Macaca fascicularis: one gene and its partners. Each later gene encodes a partner of the first gene's protein in a complex. Links are inferred from orthologs where the notes say so. Each region holds a gene or a part of one and is shown in the gene's direction. Other genes may lie near its edges.

The links.
Region 2: BRD8 (region 1) and ANP32E share a complex: the UniProt entries of both Homo sapiens proteins name them as parts of the SWR1-like complex. The link is inferred for Macaca fascicularis from reciprocal best matches to the Homo sapiens genes BRD8 and ANP32E.
Region 3: BRD8 (region 1) and KAT5 share a complex: the UniProt entries of both Homo sapiens proteins name them as parts of the SWR1-like complex. The link is inferred for Macaca fascicularis from reciprocal best matches to the Homo sapiens genes BRD8 and KAT5.
Region 4: BRD8 (region 1) and RUVBL1 share a complex: the UniProt entries of both Homo sapiens proteins name them as parts of the nuA4-related complex. The link is inferred for Macaca fascicularis from reciprocal best matches to the Homo sapiens genes BRD8 and RUVBL1.
Region 5: BRD8 (region 1) and MORF4L2 share a complex: the UniProt entries of both Homo sapiens proteins name them as parts of the nuA4 histone acetyltransferase complex. The link is inferred for Macaca fascicularis from reciprocal best matches to the Homo sapiens genes BRD8 and MORF4L2.
Region 6: BRD8 (region 1) and ING3 share a complex: the UniProt entries of both Homo sapiens proteins name them as parts of the SWR1-like complex. The link is inferred for Macaca fascicularis from reciprocal best matches to the Homo sapiens genes BRD8 and ING3.
Region 7: BRD8 (region 1) and VPS72 share a complex: the UniProt entries of both Homo sapiens proteins name them as parts of the nuA4-related complex. The link is inferred for Macaca fascicularis from reciprocal best matches to the Homo sapiens genes BRD8 and VPS72.

What each region holds. Positions count from the first base shown.
Region 1 is NC_088380.1:144,652,194-144,655,693, reverse strand, and holds part of BRD8 (bromodomain-containing protein 8), read left to right. Parts: coding exon 1-275; intron 276-575; coding exon 576-669; intron 670-855; coding exon 856-902; intron 903-1,641; coding exon 1,642-1,856; intron 1,857-2,873; coding exon 2,874-2,966; intron 2,967-3,155; coding exon 3,156-3,224; intron 3,225-3,500. UniProt on the Homo sapiens protein: May act as a coactivator during transcriptional activation by hormone-activated nuclear receptors (NR). Isoform 2 stimulates transcriptional activation by AR/DHTR, ESR1/NR3A1, RXRA/NR2B1 and THRB/ERBA2.
Region 2 is NC_088375.1:111,032,109-111,035,608, forward strand, and holds part of ANP32E (acidic leucine-rich nuclear phosphoprotein 32 family member E), read left to right. Parts: intron 1-1,228; coding exon 1,229-1,378; intron 1,379-2,493; coding exon 2,494-2,616; intron 2,617-3,500. UniProt on the Homo sapiens protein: Histone chaperone that specifically mediates the genome-wide removal of histone H2A.Z/H2AZ1 from the nucleosome: removes H2A.Z/H2AZ1 from its normal sites of deposition, especially from enhancer and insulator regions.
Region 3 is NC_088388.1:8,650,866-8,653,927, reverse strand, and holds the end of KAT5 (histone acetyltransferase KAT5), read left to right. Parts: intron 1-619; exon of another isoform or gene 620-720; coding exon of another isoform or gene 721-738; exon of another isoform or gene 739-1,549; coding exon 1,550-1,709; exon of another isoform or gene 1,710-1,838; coding exon 1,839-1,920; exon of another isoform or gene 1,921-2,014; coding exon 2,015-2,149; 3' UTR 2,150-2,562; downstream 2,563-3,062. Other genes in the region: RNASEH2C (ribonuclease H2 subunit C), read right to left, coding at 3,000-3,062. UniProt on the Homo sapiens protein: Catalytic subunit of the NuA4 histone acetyltransferase complex, a multiprotein complex involved in transcriptional activation of select genes principally by acetylation of nucleosomal histones H2A and H4.
Region 4 is NC_088376.1:155,323,096-155,327,316, forward strand, and holds the start of RUVBL1 (ruvB-like 1), read left to right. Parts: upstream 1-1,421; 5' UTR 1,422-1,529; coding exon 1,530-1,670; intron 1,671-4,221. UniProt on the Homo sapiens protein: Possesses single-stranded DNA-stimulated ATPase and ATP-dependent DNA helicase (3' to 5') activity; hexamerization is thought to be critical for ATP hydrolysis and adjacent subunits in the ring-like structure contribute to the ATPase activity.
Region 5 is NC_088395.1:110,058,189-110,062,407, reverse strand, and holds the start of MORF4L2 (mortality factor 4-like protein 2), read left to right. Parts: upstream 1-1,419; 5' UTR 1,420-1,478; intron 1,479-1,951; exon of another isoform or gene 1,952-1,966; intron 1,967-2,742; exon of another isoform or gene 2,743-2,811; intron 2,812-4,179; 5' UTR 4,180-4,219. UniProt on the Homo sapiens protein: Component of the NuA4 histone acetyltransferase complex which is involved in transcriptional activation of select genes principally by acetylation of nucleosomal histone H4 and H2A.
Region 6 is NC_088377.1:162,563,519-162,567,649, forward strand, and holds the start of ING3 (inhibitor of growth protein 3), read left to right. Parts: upstream 1-1,331; 5' UTR 1,332-1,449; coding exon 1,450-1,477; intron 1,478-1,716; coding exon 1,717-1,788; intron 1,789-3,858; coding exon 3,859-3,959; intron 3,960-4,131. UniProt on the Homo sapiens protein: Component of the NuA4 histone acetyltransferase (HAT) complex which is involved in transcriptional activation of select genes principally by acetylation of nucleosomal histones H4 and H2A.
Region 7 is NC_088375.1:110,032,689-110,036,188, forward strand, and holds part of VPS72 (vacuolar protein sorting-associated protein 72 homolog), read left to right. Parts: intron 1-1,531; coding exon 1,532-1,684; intron 1,685-1,861; coding exon 1,862-1,976; intron 1,977-3,500. UniProt on the Homo sapiens protein: Deposition-and-exchange histone chaperone specific for H2AZ1, specifically chaperones H2AZ1 and deposits it into nucleosomes.

The sequences.
Region 1 (3,500 bases):
ACTTTGAGGAAACTGAAAACAAGGGAATACATGAACTGGTGGACATCAGGGAGCCCAGTGCAGAGATCAAGGTGGAACCTGCAGAACCAGAATCAGTCATTTCAGGGGCTGAAATAGTAGCTGGAGTTGTTCCAGCCACAAGTATGGAGCCACCAGAACTCAGGAGTCAGGACTTAGATGAGGAACCGGGAAGTACTGCAACTGGAGAGATTGTTGAAGCAGATGTTGCCATTGGGAAAGGCGATGAGACTCCACTTACAAATGTGAAGACAGAGGTACTTAATAAAGATCAGGGGCTGGGGAGATGGAGGGTTATACCTTAAGTAAGAAGTGATAGCTTAGGTTTTTTGGTTTTCCAGTTGCATTCCTGAGTTCTGACATGTTTGATGGTCCAAAGCCCATAGGCTGTGATTAGTGTTATATATACTTATTCCTGTTAAGGTGACCATTGGAGTCACATTACATGAATAGGACTTAGAATTTCTTCTATGGTCTCATTATCATTGAAGAATAAAGTTGTGTGAGCTATAGTGATTTACCAGTACTTAGGGTGTTTTTTCTTTTCTGGTTTTCAGGCATCCCCTGAAAGCATGTTGTCTCCATCACATGGCTCAAATCCCATTGAAGATCCTTTAGAAGCAGAGACTCAGCACAAGTTCGAAATGTCAGGTAAATAAAGTCCTCTTTAACTAACTTGAAATCATTTGCTTTGGCTTCTGAGGGATTGTGGGTTGTGGGCAAGTAGAGGAGGTAGAACAGGTCAGCATGGAAAGGAGAGCTGCAGGGGATTATGGTCCATAGGAAGGGGAAGGCTAAGGTGGAAAAATCTTCAGGTAGTCTTTCTCTCCTCTGCAGACTCATTGAAAGAAGAATCAGGGACTATTTTTGGAAGCCAGATAAAGGTATTTCAGACTTTTCTTTATTCCTCTTGCCATGTGATTAGATTTCCCTATAGCACTACTTTTTAATGAATTTCAGTAAAGTCGCATTTTTATTCTCTGATAAGAGACTGGTATGGAGTTGCGTGGGGAAAAGCTGCAGTAGACAGGCATAATGGGAGTACTGTAGCAACAGGTGCCTCCCATATGAAACAGCTTGTGAATATCACAGTCCTTAAGAAGCCTTGATACACTTAGAGTGATTTGGAGTGAATAAGGATACCAGAACTAAGGAGAACATACAGGAATCCAGTTTATTAATTAGACTATCCAAAGAAAATCATCCAAAGTTTTCTTTTTAGAATTATTAAAGCAGTAGTAACAGAGACTTAAAGAATGCGATGTGAGCTTGCTCCATCAGATGAGACACAAAATAAAAATTATTTTTGATAACTTTGTATCCAGGGTCAGAGTTACTCTTGAACAAGGGGAAAGAAGGAACGCCTCTTAGCTTAGTCTTAAGTAAGTAGCTTTTTTTTTCTTTCTTTTTAAAAGATCCTGGGTATTATTCTTTGTCCAGGTTCTAAATTACTTAAGTCAGTGTCTTTAAGTAGATGGTAGTATAAGTGATAGACAGCTAAGTCAGGAAACAGCGTGAGGTCATTTCTAGAACTAATTCTAACCCAAAAGACAGAGCATGTTTAATGATGCTTTGCTGGATAGCTTTGCTTGCATTTATTGACTGGAGCATACTGTGTCTAAGGATGCCCCAGGTGAGGATGAGGAGGAAGATGGTGTCAGTGAAGCGGCCAGCCTAGAGGAGCCTAAGGAAGAGGATCAAGGAGAAGGTTATTTGTCAGAAATGGATAATGAACCTCCTGTGAGCGAGAGTGATGATGGCTTCAGCATACACAATGCTACACTGCAGTCACACACGCTGGCAGACTCCATCCCCAGCAGCCCTGCTTCTTCACAGTTGTGAGTATCTGAGATTCTTCCTTTGAGGCTAAGGCAGTGAAGGTGAGAAGGAGAGGATCTTTTCTTCCCCTCCCCTCCCCTCCCCTCCCCTCCCCTCCCCTCCCCTCCCCTCCCCTCCCCTCCTCTCTTCTCTCCTTCTTTCTTTCTTTCCTTCCTTCCTTTGTTGTTCTCACTCACCCATGCTGGAGGGCAGTGGCGCGATCTCAGCTCACTGCAACCTCCACTTCTCAGGCCCAAGCAATCCTTTCACCTCAGCCTCCTTAGTAGCTGGGACTACTGGCCTGCACCACCACACCCTACTAATTAAAAAAATTTTTTTTAGTAGAGACCAAGTTTTGCCATTTTACCCAGGCTGTTCTCAAACTCCTGAGCTCAACAGTTGCCTCGGCCTCCCAAAGTGCTGAGATTACAGGCATGAGCCACCATACGTGGTCTTTTTCTTTATTTTTAAATTTTTGTTTTTAAAAGATGTTCTTTTAAGAGACAGAATCTCCCTATGTGGTCCAGTCTGGTCTTGAACTCCTGACCTCAAGCAGTCTTCTTGCCTTGACATCCCAAAGCACTAGAATTAGAGGCATGAGCCACAATGCCTGGCCTGATCTTTTCTTTAGTGTTTCCCTTTTTTGGCCTGGAATAAACAGTTGACAAAAATTATTAGGGCTGGGCATGGTGGCTCACACCTGTAATCCCAACACTTTAGGAGGCTAAGGCAGGAGGATCGCTGGAACCCAGGACTTCGAGACCAGCCTGGGCAACACAGTGAGACCCTATCTCTACAAAAAAATTAAAAAATTAGCTGGGCATGGTGGTATGCACCTACAGTCCCAGCTACTTGGGAGGCTGAGGTGAGAGGATTGAGTCTGGGAGGTTGAGGGTGCAGTGAACATGATCACGCCACTGCACTCCAGCCTGGGGGACAGAGTGAGACCCTGTCTCTAAAAAAAAGAGATAATTTTTTATATATATATATATATTTTTTAACTTGTGCCTAGTGAAATTGCTGTATCTCTGTTTCAGCTCTGTCTGTAGCGAGGATCAGGAAGCTATTCAGGCACAGAAAATTTGGAAGAAAGCCATCATGCTTGTATGGAGAGCTGCAGCTAATCATAGGTGAGTGGGCTTTATCAGTCAGTAGGTTCATTTTCTCTTACTCTTCATTGTTGGTGACTGGAAAAAAGTCTGAGTAGGCTTCTGTGGAACTGCTGGTATTGGTTCTTACTATCTTCAGCTACTTAGAGTAAGTTCTCTCCCTGTTCTTCTGGAGAATGTCAGTAATTGCACCTTATTCCTTTTGGACAGGTATGCCAATGTCTTCCTGCAGCCTGTTACAGATGACATAGCACCTGGCTACCACAGCATTGTGCAGAGGTGAGCCATGATCCACTCAGCATGGTAACTTGCCTGAATTATAAGTTGTCCAGTCTTAGTGAAAGTTTTGCTTTAGATAGAAAGTTTAAAGCAAGTAAATTTATGGTTTTGCTATAAGGGGCACTAAGTACTAAACTGATGATTCCAGTGGCTGGATCACCACTGATAGTCTAAAAGAATAAATCCTCACCGGGAGTGGTGGCTCACGCCTGTAATCCCAGCACTTTGAGGGTGCTGAGGTGGGTGAATCACTTGAGCCCAGGAATTCAAAACTAG
Region 2 (3,500 bases), on another chromosome or scaffold:
GGCCTGGATGTGAGAACCAATAACACCCTCTGGGCTGTTCCCAGAGGAGCTTTCTAACATTTCCTCATAAAGGGTAAGGAGGTTTTTTTGAGTTATGATGGTATTTATCAACCAAAGAGAAGGGGTTTTAAACTGAAAAAATGATTAAAGAGTTTCTTCTCTTTGTAGGTTTTTTTTTTTGAGATAGAGTCTCGATCTGTTGCCCAAGGTGGAGTGCAAGGGTGCGGCCTTGGCTCACTGCAACCTCTGCCGCCCGGGTTCAAGTGATTCTCCTGTCTCAGCCTCCCAAGCAGCTGGGATTACAGGTGCCCACCATCACGCCTGGCTGAGTTTTGTGTTTTTAGTAGGGACAGGGTTTCACTGTGTTGGCCAGGCTTATTTTGAACTCCTAACCTCAAGTGATCCACCTGCCTCAGCTTTCCAAAGTGCTGGGATGACAGGCGTGAGCCCCTGCGCCTGGCGCTCTTTGTAGGTTTTAGGGCAGCTCACTCGAATCTTTTCCTGGTAGCTCAGGTACCCCCTCCTTGCATAAATATATTCTCTGATGTTGAGAGTCCTCCTTATCAGGGTCAGAAACAGTTTTCACATGGGAACTTCTTCAACGTTTGTTTCTTATGTATCAGTGATTTGAAGCAGGCATTGAACTTTAGTCCAAGTTTAAATTGAAAGAATGGCCAGGCGAGGTGGCTCATCCCTGTAATCCTAGCACTTTGGGAGGCCGAGGGGGAGGATCACCTGAGGTCAGGAGTTCAGGACCAGCCTGGCCAACATGGCGAAACCCTGTTTCTACTAAAAATACAAAAAAATTAGTCGGGAGTGGTGACATGCACCTGTAATCCCAGCTACTTGAGAGGCTGAGACAGGAGAATTGCTTGGACCCAGGAGTTGGAGGTTGCAGTGAGCCGAGATGGTGCCATTGCACTCCAGCCTGGGTAACAGAGCAAGACTCCATCTCAAAAAAAAAAAGAAGGAAAAAAAAGGAAAAAAGAAATTTAAAAGATTATAGTGATGACTTTAGATTGTATATCAGTTTTGGGGGGAAATGAAAAGGATCTGTGTAAGGGGATTGCTGGGGTTTTTGTTGTGTTGTGTTTTGTTTTAACTGATGGGCAATCAAACTGGAGATTGGTGGTTTTAATAGTTACATTTTCAGAGTGTCAAGACCCAGGTCTCTACCTAAACAGATTACAAACTAAAGAATCATTAATTAATGTTTTCCCTCTTACAGGTGACAGAGTTAGTCCTTGATAATTGCCTGTGTGTAAATGGGGAAATTGAAGGCCTGAATGATACTTTCAAAGAACTAGAATTTCTGAGTATGGCTAATGTGGAACTAAGTTCACTGGCCCGGCTTCCCAGCTTAAATAAACTTCGAAAAGTAAGTTGGCATTTACGTGAAGCATCATGATTTAAATGTCATGGCTATTATGTCTAGTGTTTGGCCAAATGGAATACCATTCTGCTTGCTAATTAGAAGTTTTTAAGTTTCTAGAGATAAGAAAAAGTTATATAGGATTTTGAGAATCAGCTCTAATACTGCTTTTATAAATTTATTTACTTACTTATTTTTAAGACAGGGTCTTACTCTGTCACCCAGGCTGGAGTGCCGTGGTGTGATCTTGGCTCATTGCAACCTCTGCCTCTGGGGCTCAAGCATTCTCCCACTTCAGCCTCCCAAGTAGCTGAGGCTACAGGCATGCGCCACCACACCTGGCTAATTTTTGTATTTTTTACAGAGACAGGGTTTCACCATGTTGTCCAGACTGATTTCAAATTCCTGGGCTCCAGGCATCCTCCTGCCTCAGCTTCCCACAGTGCTGGGATTAGAGGAGTTAGCCTCTGTGCCTGGCCTAGAAATTTAAATCTAATAGTGGAATTGCCTTATAATATGAATTTGTATTTAATATATACCAAATATTTTTCTCTACATCATGAAATCCAAATGTAGTACAACTAGAATCCAAGCTGGGTTAAGAGCCCATTATGTAGGTGTTCTAATACATTATTTGGCAGATGTAGAAAGGAATTTGGAAATTAATGATCTGTAGTGATAGTTTCTTGAAGCCAGAGAGAATGACAGGTTTTTTTTTCTTCAAATTGATATACTTTAAAAATCTTTGATATACTTTAAAAATCTTTGATATGCCAGGTGTGGTGGCTCACGCCTGTAATCCCAGCACTTTAGGAGGCTGACGCGGGTGGATCACCTGAGGTCAGGAGTTCGAGACCAGCCTGGCCAACATGGTGAAACCCCATCTCTACTAAAAATACAAAAACTAGCTGGGTGTGGTGGCGGGTGCCTGTAATCCCAGCTGCTTGGGAGGCTGAGGCAGGAGAATTTGCTTGAACCCAGGAGGCGGAGGTTACAGTGAGTGGAGATTGTACCACTGCACTCCAGCCTGAGTAACAGAGTGATACTTCGTTTCAAAAAAAAAAAAGCTTTGATATGATACCTTTACCATTCTTTGTTTTCTTCCTATGTTGAATGTATAGTTGGAGCTTAGTGATAACATAATTTCTGGAGGCTTGGAAGTCCTGGCAGAGAAATGTCCAAATCTTACCTACCTCAATCTGAGTGGAAACAAAATAAAAGATCTCAGTACAGTAGAAGCTCTGGTAAGTGGAACGGTTTTGTCTCTGGACTTGCTTTTTTTGGTTAAATTTTCTGAGATTTGTTTGTGTCTATTAATTTCTATTTAACTCAAAACTTACGAATTTTTTGTATGTTATGACCTAGGCAGTTACTGATTTCGTTTCCTTTTTTTTTTTTTTTTTTGAGGCGGAGTCTCGCTCTGTCGCCCAGGCTGGAGTGCAGTGGCGCGATCTCGGCTCACTGCAAGCTCCGCCTCCCGGGTTCCCGCCATTCTCCTGCCTCAGCCTCCCGAGTAGCTGGGACTACAGGCGCCGCCACCACGCCCGGCTAATTTTTTTTGTATTTTTAGTGGAGACGGGGTTTCATTGTGTTAGCCAGGATGGTCTCGATCTCCTGACCTCGTGATCCGCCCGTCTCGGCCTCCCAAAGTGCTGGGATTACAGGCTTGAGCCACCGCGCCCGGCCTTGATTTCGTTTCTTTTAGACTAAAATATTCAGATGAAATTTTAAATCAATGAGAAATTTATTTTATCATCAACTTCAGGAGTTGACTGTCTGGTTTTAAAATTTCCAGGTTTTTTTTTTTTAACCTTTTATTCTTTTTCCTTTCTTCTTGATTATTTTTTGAGTCATTTTATTATTTGCCCCCTTTCCTGGTATGAGGGAAGGAAAAGAAAAAGTGACACGAGGTAGGAGAATCGCTTGAACCCGGGAGGGGGAGGTTGCGGTGAGCCAAGATTGCACCATTGCACTCCAGCCTGGGCAACAAGAGCGAAACTCTGTCTAAAAAAAAAAAAAGAAAAAGAAAAAGAAAAGAAAAAGTGACATGCTGAAAATTATTGCTCTGATTTTGAAAAAAGATTGGAGACTGGGCACAGTGGTTTATGTCTGTAATCCCAGCACTTTG
Region 3 (3,062 bases), on another chromosome or scaffold:
CTACCGTGATTCTCAACCATGGCTGTGCAGCCCGGTCTCTAGGGGAGCCAGCCAGAAATAACAGTGGCACTCTCCCAGAGTTCTTTCCATTCAGGCTGACTGCCCTGCTTATCTGGGGTAGGTTCTCAGCCCCACAGTTTGCTCCTTGGCCAGGGTTCTAAGTGCCACTCAGCTTTCCCCAAATCTGACTTACATGCTCCTGCCTGGGGCCATGGGCATGTTAGTGAGCCGCTGGTGCTCATGTATCTGGTAACCGGTGTCCCATGATACAAGTCCTTGGGCAAGGACCAGTGGTTAATGTCCCCAGTTGTCCCCTGAGCCGTGCAGGCAGGTGTCCAAAATGCTGTCAACAGATACACGTAAGCATGGAATTCTCCCTTGCTCCTCGTGTCCAGTGAGGTCAGTCTCTTAAAGCCAGAAGGGACTCTGACCTTCATCACACATGAGCTCTTCAGTGCCCTCCCCAACCCTGAGGCTCCTTCTCCTCCTCAGCCTCTTCCCCATCACCCCGCATTCTATCTCACCACTCACTTGGAATAACTAAGCTCTGACCTGAGAAAAGAAGAGGAAGTTCTAGCTGTTTGTCTGGTGAAGACACAGAGGCTTTACTTGATCAAGGTTATGGTCCATTCGAGAAATTTATTGGTTAAGTGATGCCCAGATGGGGTCACATCCTCAGAACTTCTCAGCCTGGTAGCACAAGTGGATGCTTGAAGAAACTCAGTCTTGGAGCTCAGACTGCAATGGAGATGGGATGTGGGTGGGACTACCAAGGGGCTAAGGTCCATTGTGAGGGTGAGGAAGGGCTTCTAGAAGTCACAAACATCCCAGGTCCCTGGTGGGGAGAATGAAGACACTGCCCAAGAGATGTGAAGCCACTGAGGGCTGTGCAGGGTCAGGATCTCACTGGGGACTGCCTCCCAGTGCGCAGCTATCAGCAGGAGTTGGAGGGAAACAGCCATGGTGGGGGTCAGTCACCTGGCTCTCAGGAATGGTCTCCCCAACTTGGGAAGCACTTTGGTGCACCTTTTCTCCTTGCATCCTCACAACCACCCAGTCAGGCCACTCAGGTCTTAACAGCAGCTGACACTCCCAAGATCCCAGCTAGGAGGACTGATTTGACTGAGAATTCAAGCATTCTCAGGCCTGGATTAGAGACAGGAATCTGTCCCCACTTCCTTCCTTACATGCCCAGACATGGAGCCTGGGATGGCAAAGGAAAATTGGAGGCACTTTCTTCCCCTGAGCCATTTTCCCTGCATCCCCTGCCCATAAGCCTTCACTGGCCTCTGATCACCCTCGTGGTTGACTGCAGCTGCTCCTCTCAGTGCTCTCATGCCCTCCACTGTGCTCAACTCCCAGGGGAAGAGTGAATACTCGTTAGTTCTTCCTGAGGGAACTGAGGCGCAGAGAGGCGGAGGCCACAGAACTGCCAAGTGGCAGGGCCATGATGGGAACTAGGCAGCCTGCCTTGGCGACCTGTGTTTTTCAATGTTGCTTATGTTCATCTATGACCTCTTACTCACCCTCTCCTGCTCCATTGCTTTAGGCTATGAACTCTCCAAAGTGGAAGGGAAAACAGGGACCCCTGAGAAGCCCCTCTCAGACCTGGGCCTCCTATCCTATCGAAGCTACTGGTCCCAGACCATCCTGGAGATCCTGATGGGGCTGAAGTCAGAGAGCGGGGAGAGGCCACAGATCACCATCAAGTGAGCCTGGCGCTGCCTACCTGGGGGTACATGGCATGGCCTGTCTGTTCCTGGGCTTTCTCACTCTCTCCTGGGGCTCCTGGGGACAGATGAAGGTCCTCAGGGGACCTGACCTTTGCTCTCCTACAGTGAGATCAGTGAAATCACCAGCATCAAGAAGGAGGATGTCATCTCCACTCTGCAGTACCTCAATCTCATCAACTACTACAAGGTAGGGAGGCAGGCAGGGTGGAGACAGGTGTGTGGGATGCAGAGTGCAGGCCCCTGTGCACTGGCCACTTGCTGAACCCATCTCCTCTGCCCAGGGCCAGTACATCCTCACACTGTCAGAGGACATCGTGGATGGCCATGAGCGGGCTATGCTCAAGCGGCTCCTGCGGATCGACTCCAAGTGTCTGCACTTCACTCCCAAGGACTGGAGCAAGAGGGGGAAGTGGTGACCAGGCACTGCCCACTGCAGTGCTAAGACAGCAGGACTGGGGCTGATAGCCCACCCCGCCCTCACTGCAGCTCCCACAAAGCACTCTAAGGGAGATGGGGCTGAAAAGCTCGAAAAGGAAGGGACAGGCCTGGCAGGGCCCATTGGTGCCCGGCACCAAGGCGAGCTCAGGGCTCAGGCTAACTCCAAGGTCAGCTGGCCACAGGCCCAGGCCTGCTCTGAACCAGGGACCAGAGGGAGCCAGGCAGCTGTGTACAGTGAGATGGGGGGTGGGGGAGCTCTGTACAGAGGGCTGGTGGTTGTAAAAATTTCTTTTGTAAAGTAGAAGTTGGGGGTGGGGTGGGTGCTGGCTGCAAAAAATTCTGGCTTCTCTTATCCCCATTGCCCACGGCAATAAATTGTTTCTATATGCCAGAGCCATGCAAGGTTCTTGGGGGAGAGGGGTCCATGCTGGCTTAGGGGCTCTAAGGTGCCCGGACTCACAGGTGCTGTAAAGAGCTCCTTTATTGGGGTGATGGAATCAGTGGTTCCAAAGAGCTGGTTTACTGCTGTGAAGGGATCGCAGCTTTGAATTTCAAGCTCTGGTTCTCAGTCCTCGGGCACCTGTGCGTGAATCTGCAAGAGGAGTCGCCTCTACTGTTGGACTTGTAAGGCAGGGCGGCAGGCTGGCCCCCAGACCCGGGGAAGGACCCAGCTGTTCAGAATAACCCCTTCTAGACATGGCTAGGAAGAGTGGTCGGGGAGCTACGCTTCCCACGCACTACCCAGTAGAATCCTCCAGGCTTCGTCTGCCCAATTGTGCTCCACAGCCCATCCACCCGGGGACAAGACGGAACTCCTCATCTACTCACCGCTGCCGCAAGACTGGGCCAAGTTAGGGCCCCACGCACTTTGGCATCCGGGCCAGGGATGGT
Region 4 (4,221 bases), on another chromosome or scaffold:
TCAAGTGTATGTGTTTGTGTGTGGTCTAGAACATTAATTGAATTCATGAGAAGCCTTAATTGTGAGTTGTGTTTTAGGCTGTGTGCCAGGCACTTAGGTTAAAATGGTAAACAATCAAATGTGGTCTACACCCTCAAAAGGCCTGCAGTTTACTGGGAGAGACAAACATTGACCCAGTAATTATGCAAATCACTAGAAGCCTAGATTCAAAAGAAAAGAAAAAAAATATAGAAACCTAGATTCAAAACTTAGAATCAAGATGTACAAGGAAGTGTGATTTCAGGTCTGTCTCAATTCTAATATAAACTCTCCTGCACTCTGGGCAAGTCCTTCCCTTCCTCTGGATGTTAGTATCTTCTTCTGTAAAAATGGTGTCATACCATTTGCTTCTGAGGAAATCTCGCCCATTTGTCAGAATTCAGCCAAGGCAACATCACCTTCATGGTGCTTTCCCTGGCTCTCCAGGCTGTTCCTGGGGCTTCTGCTCTGGTCTTCTTGCCACCTGGGTGTACCTGTCTCACCACATCTCATGTTACAAGTTTTCTAAGCAAGGAGTAAGCTCATCAAGACTTTTATCCCTGTATCCCCAGTGCATTGTGGTGTCTGGCTCGTGTTTGTTAAATGGATGGATGGATGGATGGATGGCAAGTACAATTGTGGTGCAGGTTGTGCGAATATCATTATGAAACCTGAAGGGACAATTTGCTGGCTGATTGTCTCAGCTGAAATAATGGGACAGTATGAGCATTATTATATAGGTTTTGAAGCCTGAAGATTTCTAGTTCTGATTCTTTGTGGTGCTTTCTTGGGCGGATGGGCCTCTTTCTGCTTGTCTGTAGCTGCATTCGTAATTACACTACCTTACAGGGCTGTAGAGTTTTGAAAACTGCAAAATGTTATTTACAGTCAACTGAACTGAACTTAGCAGGAACCTTATCTCTCGGCGGAGGATGGAGATTAGAAGCAGGGGAAGACAATTCCACGGAAGGAGTGGTGGGTTGCGCTGGGCCTTTCCAGACGAGATGCAAAGGTCTGGGAGTCAGAAAACATTGGTTAGTAACCAATTGCAGTTTAAGCTCTGAACCTCAGTTCTTCTATTTCCAAAACGGAAATAATAACTTGAGCTTCGCGTAAGAGTATGACGTTCAAACGTGATAATGGATAGGACGGAAGGATTAGGAGTGGTACCCGGGGGCCACTACCTCGTGCAACGCCCCAGCCCGAAATCAAATCCGGGGCGTGGTCCCACTGTGCTACCGACCCCAGCCTGGGCAGGAAGCGCCGGCTGCGGGGGAAGCCAACCCAGAGACACAGCCGGAAGTGAGTGACTGGAGCTCCAGCAGCAGCCGCGATGGGCGCAGCCGTGAGCCTATGGAGAGCGGAGGCGTTCCCGCTTCCACCAATGGAAGGCCAACCTAGGCGGGCCTTTGCAAATTGCCCTAGTAACGGCCGCATGGTAACTCGGGCGCTGGGCGCACTGTCCTATCTGCTGGTTTTCCACGCTGGTTTTAGCTCCCGGCGTCCGCAAAATGAAAATTGAGGAGGTGAAGAGCACCACGAAAACGCAGCGCATCGCTTCCCACAGCCACGTGAAAGGGCTGGGGCTGGACGAGAGCGGCTTGGCCAAGCAGGCGGCCTCAGGGCTCGTGGGCCAGGAGAACGCGCGAGAGGTGTGGCCAGCGGACCAGGGAGTTGGGGGCTCCGAGCAGGGCTGCTGCGGCGAGAGAGCTGCTGAAGTCGGTGGCTCGGGTCGGGATGCGCGCGCCAGGGGTCTCCCGCCATAGTTGCCTCAGGGAAGTGAAAATAGGCCAGGGGCTCGGGGAGGGGCGCCGCCCTGGAGCTGGGTGAGGGGCCGCCCCAGGAAAACTAGTGACCACCCACTGGGGCCAGTTGACGGTTTGCTTCAACTCATGGACAAGTACTAATGGAAACCCACACAACCCCGTCCCCTTAATCCATGCTGAGCTCTATTCGCGACACTTATTTCCCGGGATACAGCGGGAGATAAGATAGGAGGTTACATTTTAGTGTAGTGAGAGACGATAAACGTGTACATCAATAAACAAAAATGATTATCTTGGTGGGGTTAGTTACTGCAGAACTTTGTCGGCCACGGTAAGGAAATTGGATTTTATTGTGAACGCACTGGCAGGCCGTGGGACGGTTTAAAGTAGGGAATTGACTAAACTTTAAAAGCTCGTTTTGGTTCCCAGGACCCGGGAGCTGAGGGAGAGAAGTGGGAATTAGGGAGAAGAGCAATCTGGTTTATTTATCCCTCCAAGCATCCTTTTTGACCATTCCAATTAAATCTCCTTTTTCTGAGTGCTAGTGATGCCAAGTACTTTCACATACATTATTGGTTTTTGGCAGGTGAAAATATTGAGTTGGGGAGAGGGCACTTCACCATATACTTGACACTCGTTTTAGTAATGGTAAAGCGGGGATTTGCGCTCACATGTATTTCTGACTCCCAAATCAGTGCTCTATGATGACATAGCCACTCTCTCTGCCTGCTGTTGTCTGAGGTCACAGCCATGCCCCTTGGCCTTTGCAGAGCCTTAGCTTGTACAAAAATCTTCACTTAATACAAAGTTAAGCTACTGCCTCTTAGCCTGATTTTTCTAAATAGAAAGGGCTCAAAAGAAAAACCTCGGGTTTCCATTTTGAGCATCATCTTTCCAAAAAGGAAGTGTTTGACCCTGTCTTACTAAGCAGCTATTACTGCAAGTAGCTAACATTGGTTGAGTGCTTTCCATGTGCCAAGCACTGTGCTAAGTAGCTGTGTGTCCATTGCCTTGTCATATCCAACGAATTAGTTGTCCCTTCCCTGCGTTAGTATGACAGTTTTCAGACATACAAAAAAAGTTGAAAGACTTGTATAGTAAGTACCTGTGTACCTAAATTCTATGATTAACATTTTACTATGCTGCTTTATCATATATCTTTCCATGTGTGCCTCTCCCAATCCACTTTTACATTTCAAGGTGAATTGCAGGCATCACTACACTTCACCCCTACACCCTTTAACATGTGTGCCATTGACTAGTATGAACTCTGTTCAAGTGAGGAAATTCTGGTTCATAGAGGTCAAGTAAGTAGGTCCAAGGTTACTCATCTGGTAAGTGGGAGAGTATTTTAACTCAAGTCTATGTATTTAATCCCAGAGTCCATGCTCTTAACTGATGTTGTATGCTTAAGACCCACCTCAGCTACCAGGTTCTTGTGTGATTCTGGTCACATCAGTAACCTGAAAAATGAGAGTTAGACTAGGTGATCATTTAAAGACCCTTCCAATTCTTTTTAAATGTTAGAATTCAAGCTTATCTCACCTGAGAGAAGTTGGAGTGGAAACTGAGGGAGAATAGATGGAAGAGGTCCTGGTCTGTAAATAAAAGCACATATCCAAGGTTTGTAAAGTCTCTTCTACCTTGAGTTTTCCAAAGAGCTTCAGTGCTGAGGATTATATGACAAGGTTGTATGGAAAGATCATAGTAGGTTTTTTTGTTTTTGTTTTTGTTTTTGTTTGAGATGAAGTTTCGCTCTTGTTGCCCAGGCTGGAGTGCAATGGTGCGATCTCGGCTCACTGCCACCTCTGCCTCCCGGGTTCAAGTGATTCTCCTGCTTCAGCCTCGTGAGTAGCCATGATTACAGGCGCCCACCACCATGCTCGGCTAATTTTTGTATATTTAGTAGAGACAGGGTTTCACCTTGTTGACCAGGCTGGTCTTGAACTCCTGACCTCAGGTGATCCACCCGCCTCGGCCTCCAAAAGTGCTGGGATTACAGGCATGAGCCACCGCGCCTGGCTAGGCTTTTTATCTGTTTAGAAATATAGCATCTGGGCTGGGCGCAGTGGCTCACACCTGTAATCCCAGCACTTTGGGAGGCCAAGGCAAGTGGATCACCTGAGGTCAGGAGTTCGAGACCAGCCTGGCCATCATAACAAAATCCTGTCTCTACTAAAAATACAAAAATTAGCCAGGTATGGTGGCATGTGCCTGTAGTCTGAGCTACTCGTGAGGCTGAGGCAGGAGACTCACTTGATCCTGGGAGGCGGAGGTTGCAGTGAGCTGAGATTGCGCCATTGCACTGCAGCCTGGGTGACAGTGAGACTCCATCTGAAAAAGTAGCATCTGAAGAATATCTTCTAGGTTCTATTAAGGGCAGTGTGCTTTGGTAACTGAAGTGGAAATGGGATGGATATAGCATACACACACATAT
Region 5 (4,219 bases), on another chromosome or scaffold:
CTCTAGTGGTGTATACAAAAATATGCATTGCATTTCTACTCTCCAAAGCAGTGGTTCTCAAACTTCAGTGTGTGCTGGAATCACTGGGATAGTTTGTAATAACACAGATTACCAAACCCCACCGTGCGAACTTCTGATTCATTAAGTTTGAGGTGGGACCTGAGAATGTGAATTTCTGACAATTTTTCAGGTGATGCTGATGTTTCTGGTACATCCAGGAAACACATCTTGTGAACCACTGCTCTAAAAAAATCCCTCTTGTGTACAAGTATATAAGATAGATAATTGAAAGGGGTATGATTTTTGTTGTTTGACTTTGATCTAGTACTGCTCATCTAATAAGGACTTGGTGATAAATTTAAAAAAAAATCGACATGAAGGATATAACACAGCATCTAAAATATAGAAAGCATACAAAAAACTGAGGATCACAGAACATAAATCATTTGCCCAGGGTACTGAGACTAGTAAGTGGTGGAATGAGGTTAACAATTAAGTCTCTTTCTCTCACTCCAAAGACACAATAAAATCTACCAATACCACTACAGAAAATAGGGTGCAAACACACATATCTGATACAAATTTCAAGAGAAAAGGAAAATCAGTTTTCTTTTTTTTTTTTTTTGAGACGGAGTCTCACGCTGTTGCCCAGGCTGGAGTGCAGTGGCGCGATCTCGGCTCACTGCAAGCTCCGCCTCCCGGGTTCACGCCATTCTCCTGCCTCAGCCTCCTGAGTAGCTAGGACTACAGGCGCCCGCCACCGCGCCCGGCTAATTTTTTTGTATTTTTAGTAGAGACGGGGTTTCACTGTGGTCTCGATCTCCTGACCTTGTGATCCGCCCGCCTCGGCCTCCCAAAGTGCTGGGATTACAGGCTTGAGCCACCGCGCCCGGCCTTGGAAAATCAGTTTTCAATACCAGGGTCCAAGTTTTACTGATGAGTTCTTATCTCTTTACTAAAGTAACAGCTATCTGTATTTTCAGTTTGGGTGAGTTGCGAGCATTTGAAAAGTTGAGGAAAAAGGGTTAGGATCTTCAGCATCAGTGCTTGGGTCATTCATTAACTCTTTGATTAAACAAGGCAAGGACAAAAGAAGCGAGGGATGGAGAGGGGCCTTCCCCCCCGCCCCCCCACCCAAGGAGAAAAGGAAAGAAATGAGTAAAATTATTTGGATCTTGGGTCACAGTTCCCTGCCTACTAGTGCTATTCACAGAAGCTGATTTTATTTTTTCCTAGGAATGAACGATATCAATGATGCCTTAGATATTAGCGTTCAGCAAATCAAGAAAGGGGAGGGGGGAGGGAAACAAAATCCCAGAATCCCAGGGACCACACAGCCAATCCTTTGCTGGGATTTGGCGGCATCTAGTGGCGAACTCGAGAGGTATAAACCTTACCCACAGAACTTTCTGGAAAATTAACAGTGCGTATTTGCCTGAAGAAGGTCAGTGTGCTTGCTTGGAGATCAGAACGCAAAGGTAAGAGCGCCCTAGTCACCATAAAAATCCGGAGTCTCTAACGGAGGGGAAGGCTGTCATAGATAGATATTCTCATAGGAAAATTGTATTTGTGCCAAGAGAACTGCACGCAACCTTGAAGGGAGGGGGGAGGTGTGGAAGAGGGGAGGGAGGAGGATACTAGACAACTTGAAAGAAGTCTCCCTTTGGAGTTGCTAATGTGACGATGGAAGGCTTTGGCTCTGAATCATTGGAGGGCTGTGGTTTACGACCGGATTTTGGCACAGAGGAGTATTTAAATCAGGGAAAGCCAAAATATTTCTGACAGTGCCCCTTTATCTCTGTTATTGTCGCCTTGCCTTAATTATTTATTTTCCTTTTCATTAGAACATTTTCAAACAAAATACAGAAATAGATAACCTGCGCGCAGTAGCTAACCCCTCCCCGCAACTCCCACCCCAATCACGCACGCGGGCGCGCGCCGTGGCTCTCACCAGTCCAGACGCCAGGGGCGCACGCCTGCGCAAACACATCACCTCCAGCGCCACGAGGGCCGCTCACACAGCAACCCCAGGGGCACTCGAGCCTGCCCGCGCACTAACACACTGGCCTTAATGCCTTGCGCCCGTTGCACTCACGACCCTAACTCGCAAACACAGCAGAACCCCCCACTGCGCCTTTTTTTTCCATGTTCGGGGAGTTGCGCCACAGGCCTGGGGGCGTGGCTCCAGATTTGACCTCGCGCTTCCCCACTCGCGGGAACCTTAGCTCATTTCCGCCTATTTCCGCAGGCCACGTAGACACTTCCTCTCCCAGTGGGGGGCTGGGGGGAAACACAAACCCATAATGCCTCCCTGCAGGAAAAAAATTAAAAAAAAAAAAAAAAGGAAAAGGAAAAAAAAAAAAACCTTCTGGTCAGAGGAACTCTGGGTCGTGAAATAGGCCACGTGAACATTCTGCCCTATAGACTTATGACCCAACGGCTGTCACGCTTTTGGAGGGCGGGCTAAAAACCTAAGAGGGCGAACGTCATTGGCCGGAACGCGCACTGACGGAGGAAGAGGATTGGTTTGCTGTAGGCCTTAACAGTGAAGAAGCAGGTTGCTAGCACCCGCCTTTACTGCGGCGAAGTGTCATTGCTGACGTGGGGGTGGTTGTCCAATCATTTGGTTATGGAACATTCTAAAACTTAGACAAGACGATTGTGATTGGCTGAAGGGCATACGCCCTCCTCCAGGGTGACGTGTCTGCCTATGGATATCAGTTGCCAGAGAAACCTGGCTTTACTATGGCGGTTGGAGGAACGGCAGTGATCACACGTCGTCTGCTGGGAAGATCTGGATTCTCGTTTCAGGTTTCGGGGTGGGGGTGGGGAGAAAGGGTCGATGATTTCCTCTTTTCGTCGGGTATAGACGGGATTAGCTAGTTCCTTCACAATCGGTCAGAGCTGGATTCAGATTCCTGCTCGCCAACGCCCAGCTTGGGCAAGGCTCCTGTTCTTTCTGTGTCTCGGTTTCCATGTTTGTAAAATGGTGATAATAATAGTATCTACCTCAGAGACGTGTACTGTATAATGGTGCGTATAAGGCACGTAATATGAAGCCTGGCCCCTGAAGATATTAGCTATTGTTATGGAGATAAATAATACACGTAATAGAATGAGAAAAATTATAAATTATATAAATTCGCTAATTGTAGTGCCCTTTCTGCCATCAACTTCTTTCCTAGAATAAATTAAAGATAAAAGAGATATATCAATTTTTACCAATGAAATAATTTGCTCTTTGGGAATTGCCTCAAAATTGCAGAGATTGTAATTTTCCCATGTTGAAAAGTTAAATAAAAGGTGGGGGGGTGGAGTGCGAGAAAGAAAGAGATGGAGAACGAGAGCGAGCTGGAGATGAACCACATGCGATGAGTAGGCCTTGTTTGGATCCTGAATCGAACACACCAACTGTAAAAATATGTTTAAGACGCATCGGGAAAATTGGAACATGGATTCGATATTTGATGTTTTTTAAGGAATTGATGTCAATTTTTTTAGGCGTCACAGTAGTATTGTGATTATGTTTTCAAATTGTCCTTTTTTGTAGAGACATATACGAAAATATTTACGGATTAAATAATATAATGTCTGGGATTGGCTTCTAAATACATTAATGACTAGGATTTGCTTCAAAATAATCTAAGCGGTAGGGGGAAATGGGGAGGGGTATAGATGAAACAAAATTGACCCTAAATTAATAATAGTTTTTGCTGAGTGATAGGCAGTGGGTTCCGTATATTAATCTGCTTTCCTTGGTATACGTTTAAATTTTTGTATAATAAAATACAGAAGTCAGATATTCCCGTGAGCTTGAAAAAGTCGGGGGTGGGGGGGAGCAGTGGGTGGGGTTATAGATGAAACAAGATGGCCTTCAGTTGGTAATTGTTGAAAGCTGGATGATGGATTCGTGTAGGTTTGTAATACTATTCTTTTATTTCATCCATTTGAAATTATCTTTAAGGAAAAGTTAAAAAAATTGTCAGAAGTTATATAAATATACAATAAGTTAAATTTGAAAATGTAGCCACAAGAAAGGAAAAAGAAATACTTGTACATTATTTATCAGCTTTGGTGTCCTTTGTGTGTGATGAAATTGCATTGGCTGATGTAGAAGAAAGCCATATCTCATATCTTTTTATTTTATGTCCTTTCCTGTCCTTTTGTTTGACCTTCTAGGTCACCATCAGAAAAGCTAAGTTTGCTGTATAGTGAGGAT
Region 6 (4,131 bases), on another chromosome or scaffold:
AAAGCAACCAGAAGGAGGAAGGATGGGAAAGAGGAAAGGAAGAAAGGAGGAAAAGAAGGGAGAAAAAGATTGAAAGTACTTGATTTTAGATGCAAGTAATGAAAAAATTAACTAGAAACTAAAAAATTCTAATTCTTATTCAGATCGAAGTAAGGTTCCGCTGAGATTCATCATGATTCATCATTCACGACAGGGAAGTTTCCTGCTTAAGATGAGTGAAAACCTTGAGTAAGAGTATGTAATGGAGAAGGAAAGCAGGGAACACACACACACAGTTTCAACTGCAATCTGAAAAACAGAAAATGAAAAATAAATTATCAACTAATGACAATTTCCCCAGAAAATCGAAGAGCTAAGAAGAGAGGAAAACAACACCTAGTATTTATTGAATGCAAGAGTTTTTAATAAAAACAATGTAAAAAGAAACTGAGTAGGGACGTACTAACTATATCACAGGAAAACCTTCGCTGGGAGACGTCGAAAAGTAGAAAAAGAACGCCCAAGACAACCAACCTCGAATATGGACTATTTACTCAACATAAAGTTACTGCTATTACAGCCTATTCGAGATGAAGGCTCCATCCGTAATTCATGGCTGCTCACTATGATGATGATGATTATTACTATTATTTGTGGGTGCACATTGTATGTATAGATCAATTACATTAGAATGACGATTAGACGGACTGCAAACTACAATATGTAAGTGGCTATTGACACTATTTGTGCATCTTTTAATCTGGGAAATGCATATTCACTCCACAGTCTCAGTATAAACCATTTCAAAATTACACGTAAGCCAACCAGGTGTCTCTCTTATATTTTAGGAGTGAATAATGAGGATAAATTCCAGCAGAGAGTTCTGGTTTAAGTAACCCAAATTCCCCGAACTTTGCTGATTATCCTAGCGTTTAGAACCTTTGCTATTTGCCTGGCACTTCTTGAAACCCATGACTCACAAACGCCGGGGCATGGAATCACAGCAAAGAACAGGTGAAAAGTTGTTCCTAGTTGTGTTATGCAGGCGCACACAACTCCCGCCATTCTCTGTGCAAAAATCAACAAATAAACAGAGGCACCGCATTTCGGATTCTGTTACGCACTGTTTGCAATGGCGCCTGGTATTGGTAGTTTCTACGAGGGGAGCCGCCAGCGCGCCAACCCTTGCTCAGCAGGAAGAAAACTACATTTCCCACAAAGGCACGGGGGCGAACACCGGCCGGCTTACGTCATTCCTTTAACCAACCAATAGCAGTTCCGGGCGGCAGTGAGGCAAGCGCCGTCAGGCGCCAAAGTGGTTTTTTTTTTTTTCTCTTTTTTTTTTTTTTGCCGGAGTCGAGCGGGTGCTGCTAGCGGAGGCGCCATATTGGAAGGGACAAAACTCCGGCGACAGCGAGTGACACAAATAAACCCCTGGACCCCCTTGTTCCCTCAGCTCTAAGGGCCGCGATGTTGTACCTAGAAGACTATCTGGAAAGTGAGTGCGCGGCGCTGGCGGCGGCCGCCGGTGGGACCTGCGGGAGGGCAAGAGCGCGAGTGGACGGGCAGCGAGATGGCGGGAGGGAGGGGGCGGCGGGGGATGTTTCTCTCTCACGGTAACTGGCAGCCTCGTTGTGGGCTGCCGGCCCCCTCGACCCCCCTGACGCACGCGCGCAGTGACGTAAGCGCGTATTTCGCCGTTGGCCCCGCCCCTCTGACGGACTCTCCCTTTGACAGTGATTGAGCAGCTTCCTATGGATCTGCGGGACCGCTTCACGGAAATGCGCGAGATGGACCTGCAGGTGCAGAGTAAGTCGGCGCGTCTGCTCTTCATGTTGGCTGCGCGCGTTCAGTGCCAGACTTGCTTTTCATCACTGCTAGCGCCTAATGCTCTTTCACTGTCCTCTGGCTCACTCCGCTAGTGCATAAGGAGTTGTCAAAAAGAACTGGCAGCCCTGAATCTCGCCTTTTCTTTCCCTCCCATGCTACTTTTTTCTGGCTTTTGCAAGAGGAGGCGGCATTGGGACAGGTGTATTCCTTTCTAGAATGTAGGATTGTGCAAAAAATATTTCTCTACCGTCATTGAGATAGTTATCTATGTTTCAATGCACGTCAGCATAATAAATGTTGAGATGTTGTCTTGAGCCTTTTCGTATCGAACTTAGATTTCAGCATTTATACTTATTTTAAAGTTCATCCTATTCAGTTTTTCAAGAGTGGAGAGCATAGAAGCACAGGTTATATATAGCTCTTTAGAGACCCTGGCGAATGTCAAATTTTGAAAACTTAGTTACACATTATAAGATACATTTTAAATTGTAACAGAATCGTCATTTTCTTGGTTAAAATGAGTGACAGAAATTAGATTTCACTGTAAAGTTTCATATGTGCTGTACTAAAAATTTTAGCAGTTAGTGAACATTTATTTTTCTTTCAGTGATAGCTTGGTAGTCTCTGTGACTTTTTCCCCAAATTAACTTTACTCTTTCGTAGAGCAAGGACTATAAATAGGTGGCTTAGGGACCACTTGCTGCAGCTAAGAACCTGTCCTTTTCACTGCCCCTGTCTTCTCTGCCCGTGACCACACACCCACTTCTATACCCTTTGTTTATGCGTATATGTTTCCAGTAAGTTTCAGGTGGCACATAATAAAAAGTGGTGGCATGGAAGCCACCTTCTGTTCAGTGGATTGTGGTATGAAGTATGAATTGTGTGTGTGGTTCTCCAGCTATCTCACAAATTCATTTTAATTTTAGTGTAGTCGAAATGCTAAAGATTTGCTGAAGTATTTTCTGCAGGACTGAGCATAGACATGGATGTCAGATAGATCTGAGTTTGTTTTAGGGCTTTACTAATTTACTCATTGACTCTGACTGTATTACCACTTGTGTGGGGCTTTCATTGTCTGTAAAAAGAGAATCATCTAAGGATTTAAAATATTACAGATGGATTAGAATTTATAGTATCTGATACAAAGTAGGCATTAAATAAAGGGTAACTTATTTTAAATTTATTTTTATATTTTGTTTAAAATTTTAAATTCTCATAATTTGGGCTTACAGTATACATATTACAGGGTTTTTAAACGTGCATTTCTTTACAGTAACGAATTTTCTGAAGTTAATAGATATTATGGATTAACAGAACAGTGTGCCAAATAAATTCAGAAATGCTTATTTAAACAAAGGAAGATACTGAAAATTAACCATAGTACTTCACAGAGTCTTTAAAAGGCTATTGTGGACTGAAAATCTCCAAAAGAAGTATGCTATGAAAAGATTTTTCTCAACTTACGTAACAACAGAATCCTTTTTATTAATTTTTCCTTTTTTTTAAGCAGACATCCAATGAGATGATTAGTCTTAGCACTTAATTTGGGGAAAATTTATCTAGAATTAATGTTTAAATGATTGCACCTACTACTTTCAGTTGGGATATGACATGATGAGATGTTTAATGCCTTATACCAAATCTTTTTATCACTTTTTCTTGTTGAAAGAAATGTGAGGATTATCTAATGGTGTTTTCATTGTGTTTTGGTACATTTGTCTGATTAACACCTATAGCTTTTGACCCCAAGGCTGTATTGCTCAAAAATTATAGGATAGAGCCGATCTACTTTGTTGACTCTACTTTGGCTATTGGAAAAAATTTTGAAATAACAAAAACAAAAATAATCTGTCAATAAGGAAAATTGTAACTTTTTAAAGGAAGGTAATTGAGGCTTTATATATTTACATAATCAAAGCATAACATATTTAAGTTACTGGCAAAGTGAAAGAGTATATATTGTCAGATTTTTTTCCCTCCCTAAATCAAACCATGTATATTTAGTATATGAATTTGGTCATTTAATATGATTTTTTTATTATGTCATAGATGCAATGGATCAACTAGAACAAAGAGTCAGTGAATTCTTTATGAACGCAAAGAAAAATAAACCTGAATGGAGAGAAGAACAAATGGCATCCATCAAAAAAGTATGTGCGACACTTTGGATAATTTATCAAGAAATATTGGGACCCTCTGAAAAAGATATTTCAAAATTAAATAGTGATCTGGATATCAAAATAAGGGAATATTATCAATGACTCTTTAGAATGTAAATAATTTAGTGTGGTTTAGAGCTTCAGATAGCGATTTTTAGTCATT
Region 7 (3,500 bases), on another chromosome or scaffold:
GCTGTACTTCACATTCTCTACTCAGGCCATCTAACTGCCTCCAGAGCTCTCTGAAATACCCCTTGTACATACTGTTACCCCTCCCCTATATCTTCGGTGGCTCTCCGTTATCCATAGTAGCAGTACTCAGCTGTTTTTCTGTCCCAACACATCTGAGGAATGACACATATTTCTCTCAGTAACTTTAGTTTACATAAACAATGATTATCAATGGTCGGACAAATAAGGAGATGGAGGGGATTGAGAATTATTGGCCTGCAGGTTAAAATTGTGTTTATTAGTGTGACATTTAAGTTTCTCCATAAATGGAATGCAGGAATGCAAACTTCTTTTCTTTTTTTTTTTTTTGAGACGGAGTCTCGCTCTGCCGCCCAGGCTGGAGTGCAGTGGCGCGATATCAGCTCACTGCAAGCTCCACCTCCCGGGTTCACGCCATTCTCCTGCCTCAGCCTCCTGAGTAGCTGGGACTACAGGCATCTGCCACCACGCTTGGCTATTTTTTTCTATTTTTAGTAGAGATGGGGTTTCACCGTGTTAGCCAGGATGGTCTCGATCTCCTGACCTCATGATCCACCCGCCTCGGCCTCCCAAAGTGCAGGGATTACAGGCATGAGCCACTGCGCCCGGCCGCAACCTTCTTTTCAAATCATATAGTCCTACAGTGCAATCAGTGTTGGAAGGAGGCAGTGCTGGAGCGAAACACAGTTGGCTAACAAGGTTTCTTGATAGAGAAAAGTTTTACTTAGATCTAAATCTTTATTCCATAAACATGCTGTACCAAACAGAAATTACCATTTCTGCGCCTTTGTTTCTGCTATTTCATCGCCCATGATTCCTTCTTCCCTCTTGACTGTCTAAATACTAACAGTGTTTTCAACCATAGTTTAACTCCTCTTCATGCCTTTTTTTTTTTTTTGAGATAGTGTCTCGCCCTGTCGCCCAGGCTGGAGTGCAGTGGCACTATCTCAGCTCACTGCAACCTATGCCTCCTGGGTTCAGGTGATTCTCCTGCCTCAGCCTCCCAAGTAGCTGGGACTACAGGTGTGCATCACCATGCCCAGCTAATTTTTGTATTTTTAATAGAGCCAGGGTTTCACCATGTTGGCCAGGCTGATCTCGAACTCTTGGCCTCAAGTGATCTGCCCACCTCAGCCACCCAAAATGCTGGGATTACAGGCATGAGCCACCGTGCCTGGCCAAGACCCACATCTCAAAAAAAAAAAAAAAAAGTAAGATTATGTTATCCCCTTTACTGTAAGCCCCTGAAAGTAGAGACCAAACCATATCCTTTTGTTTCCCAGTACTTAACACAGTGTGTTGCAGGTAAAGCGCTATCAATTAATGTTGGAAGGAGGTGGTACTGGAGCCAAAGGCCATTAGCTAGAAAGTTTTCTTGCTTGAAGAAAATGAAGGACTGGATTAGGAAGGAGAGTAGGGCAACCCTTATCAAGAAAGTTGAGAGATTCTGTTCTTCCTGAAGGGTCATTAAGGCTTCCATTGCCAGCCAACCCTCATCTCCCTGTGTCCTTAGGAATCCGGAGATGATGAGTATCAAGGGGACCAGTCAGATACAGAGGACGAAGTGGACTCTGACTTTGATATTGATGAAGGGGATGAACCATCCAGCGATGGAGAAGCAGAAGAGCCAAGAAGGAAGCGCCGAGTAGTCACCAAGGCCTATAAGGTACAGGAGGAGTCCTAGTTTTCTTGGATTTCCTCAATTCCTATTCCCTCTTTCATCAGGTCCCAGTACTCCCTTTGCCACTTCCATTTCTGGCAATGCTAGTTTTCTCTCATTGAGATCCTCATATTTCTCCTTACTTCTTCTGTTCCCTGGTATCTGATTCCAATCTGTCCTCAGGAGCCTCTCAAGAGCTTAAGGCCTCGAAAGGTCAACACCCCGGCTGGTAGCTCTCAAAAGGCCCGAGAAGAGAAGGCACTACTGCCACTAGAACTACAAGATGACGGCTCTGACAGTGAGTAGGGATGTTTGGGTCAATTGGGAAAATTGGAATATGATGATACAATATCATATCAGTGTTAAATTTACTGATGTTGCTGGGTGCAGTGGCTCACGCCTATAATCCCATCACTTTGGGAGGCCAAGGCGGGTGGATCACCTGAGGTCAGGAGTTCGAGACCAGCCTGGCCAAGATGGTGAAATTCCATCTCTACTAAAAATACAAAAATTAGGCAGGTGTGGTGGTGGGCCCCTGTAATCCCAGCTACTTGGGAGGCTTAGGCAGGAGAATTGCTTGAACCTGGGAGGCAGGGGTTACAGTGAGCCAAGACCACACCATTGCACTGCAGCCTGGGCAACAAGAGCAAAACTCCGTCTCAAAAAAAGAAAAAGAAAAAGAAAAAAATTTACTGATGTTGATAACTTACTATGGATAGGAAAATCCTCATTCTTAGGAAATACACACTGAAATATTTAGGGATAAAGGCCATGATGTTTACAACTTTAGTTATCTAATTTAGATCATTCAGAAAAAAACCACACATACAAAATGCAAAAGGGCCAAAATATTACCAATAGGTGATGGGGTAAAAGATACATGAGTATTCATTGTACTATTCTTGCAACTTTGTAGGTTTGAAATTATTTTGAGGCCAGGCATGGTGGCTCACGCCTGTAATCCCAGCATTTTGGGAGGCCGAGGCAGGTGGATCTTGAGGTCAGGAGTTTGAGACCATCCTGGCTAACATGGTGAAACCCCATCTCTACTACAAATACAAAAAATTAGCTGGACATGGTGGCATGTGTCTGTAGTCCCAGCTGCTCGGGAATCTGAGGCAGGAGAATCGTTTGAACCCGGGAGGCAGAGGTTGGAGTGAGCCGAGATTGTGCCACTGCACTCCAACCTGGGCGACAGAGCGAGATTCTATCTCAAAAAAAAAAAAAAAAAAAAAAAAAGAAAGGATTTCTGGCCGGGCGCAGTGGCTCACGCCCATAATGCCAGCACTTTCGGAGGCCAAGGCGGGCAGATCACGAGGTCAGGAGATCGAGACCATCCTGGCTAACACAGTGAAACCCCGTCTCTACTAAAAACACGAAAAAATTAGCCGGGCATGGTGGCGGATGCCTGTAATCCCAGCTACTCGGGAGGCTGAGGCAGGAGAATGGCGTGAACGTGGGAGGCGGAGCTTGCAGTGAGCTGAGATTGTGCCACTGCACTCCAGCCTGGGTGACAGAGCGAGACTCTGTCTCAAAAAAAAAAAGGAAATTATTTCCAAACACAAAATTTAAAAATAAATAAATAAAATAGGTGGACATGGGGGCTGGGCGTGGTGGCTCACGCCTGTAATCCCAGCACTTTGGGAGGCCAAGGCGGGCAGATCACGAGGTCAGGAGATCGAGACCATCCTGGCTAACACGGTGAAACCCCGTCTCTACTAAAAATACAAAAAATTAGCCGGGCGTGGTGGCGGGTGCCTATAGTCCCAGCTACTCAGGAGGCTGAGGCAGGAGAATGGCGTGAACCCGGGAGGCGGAGCTT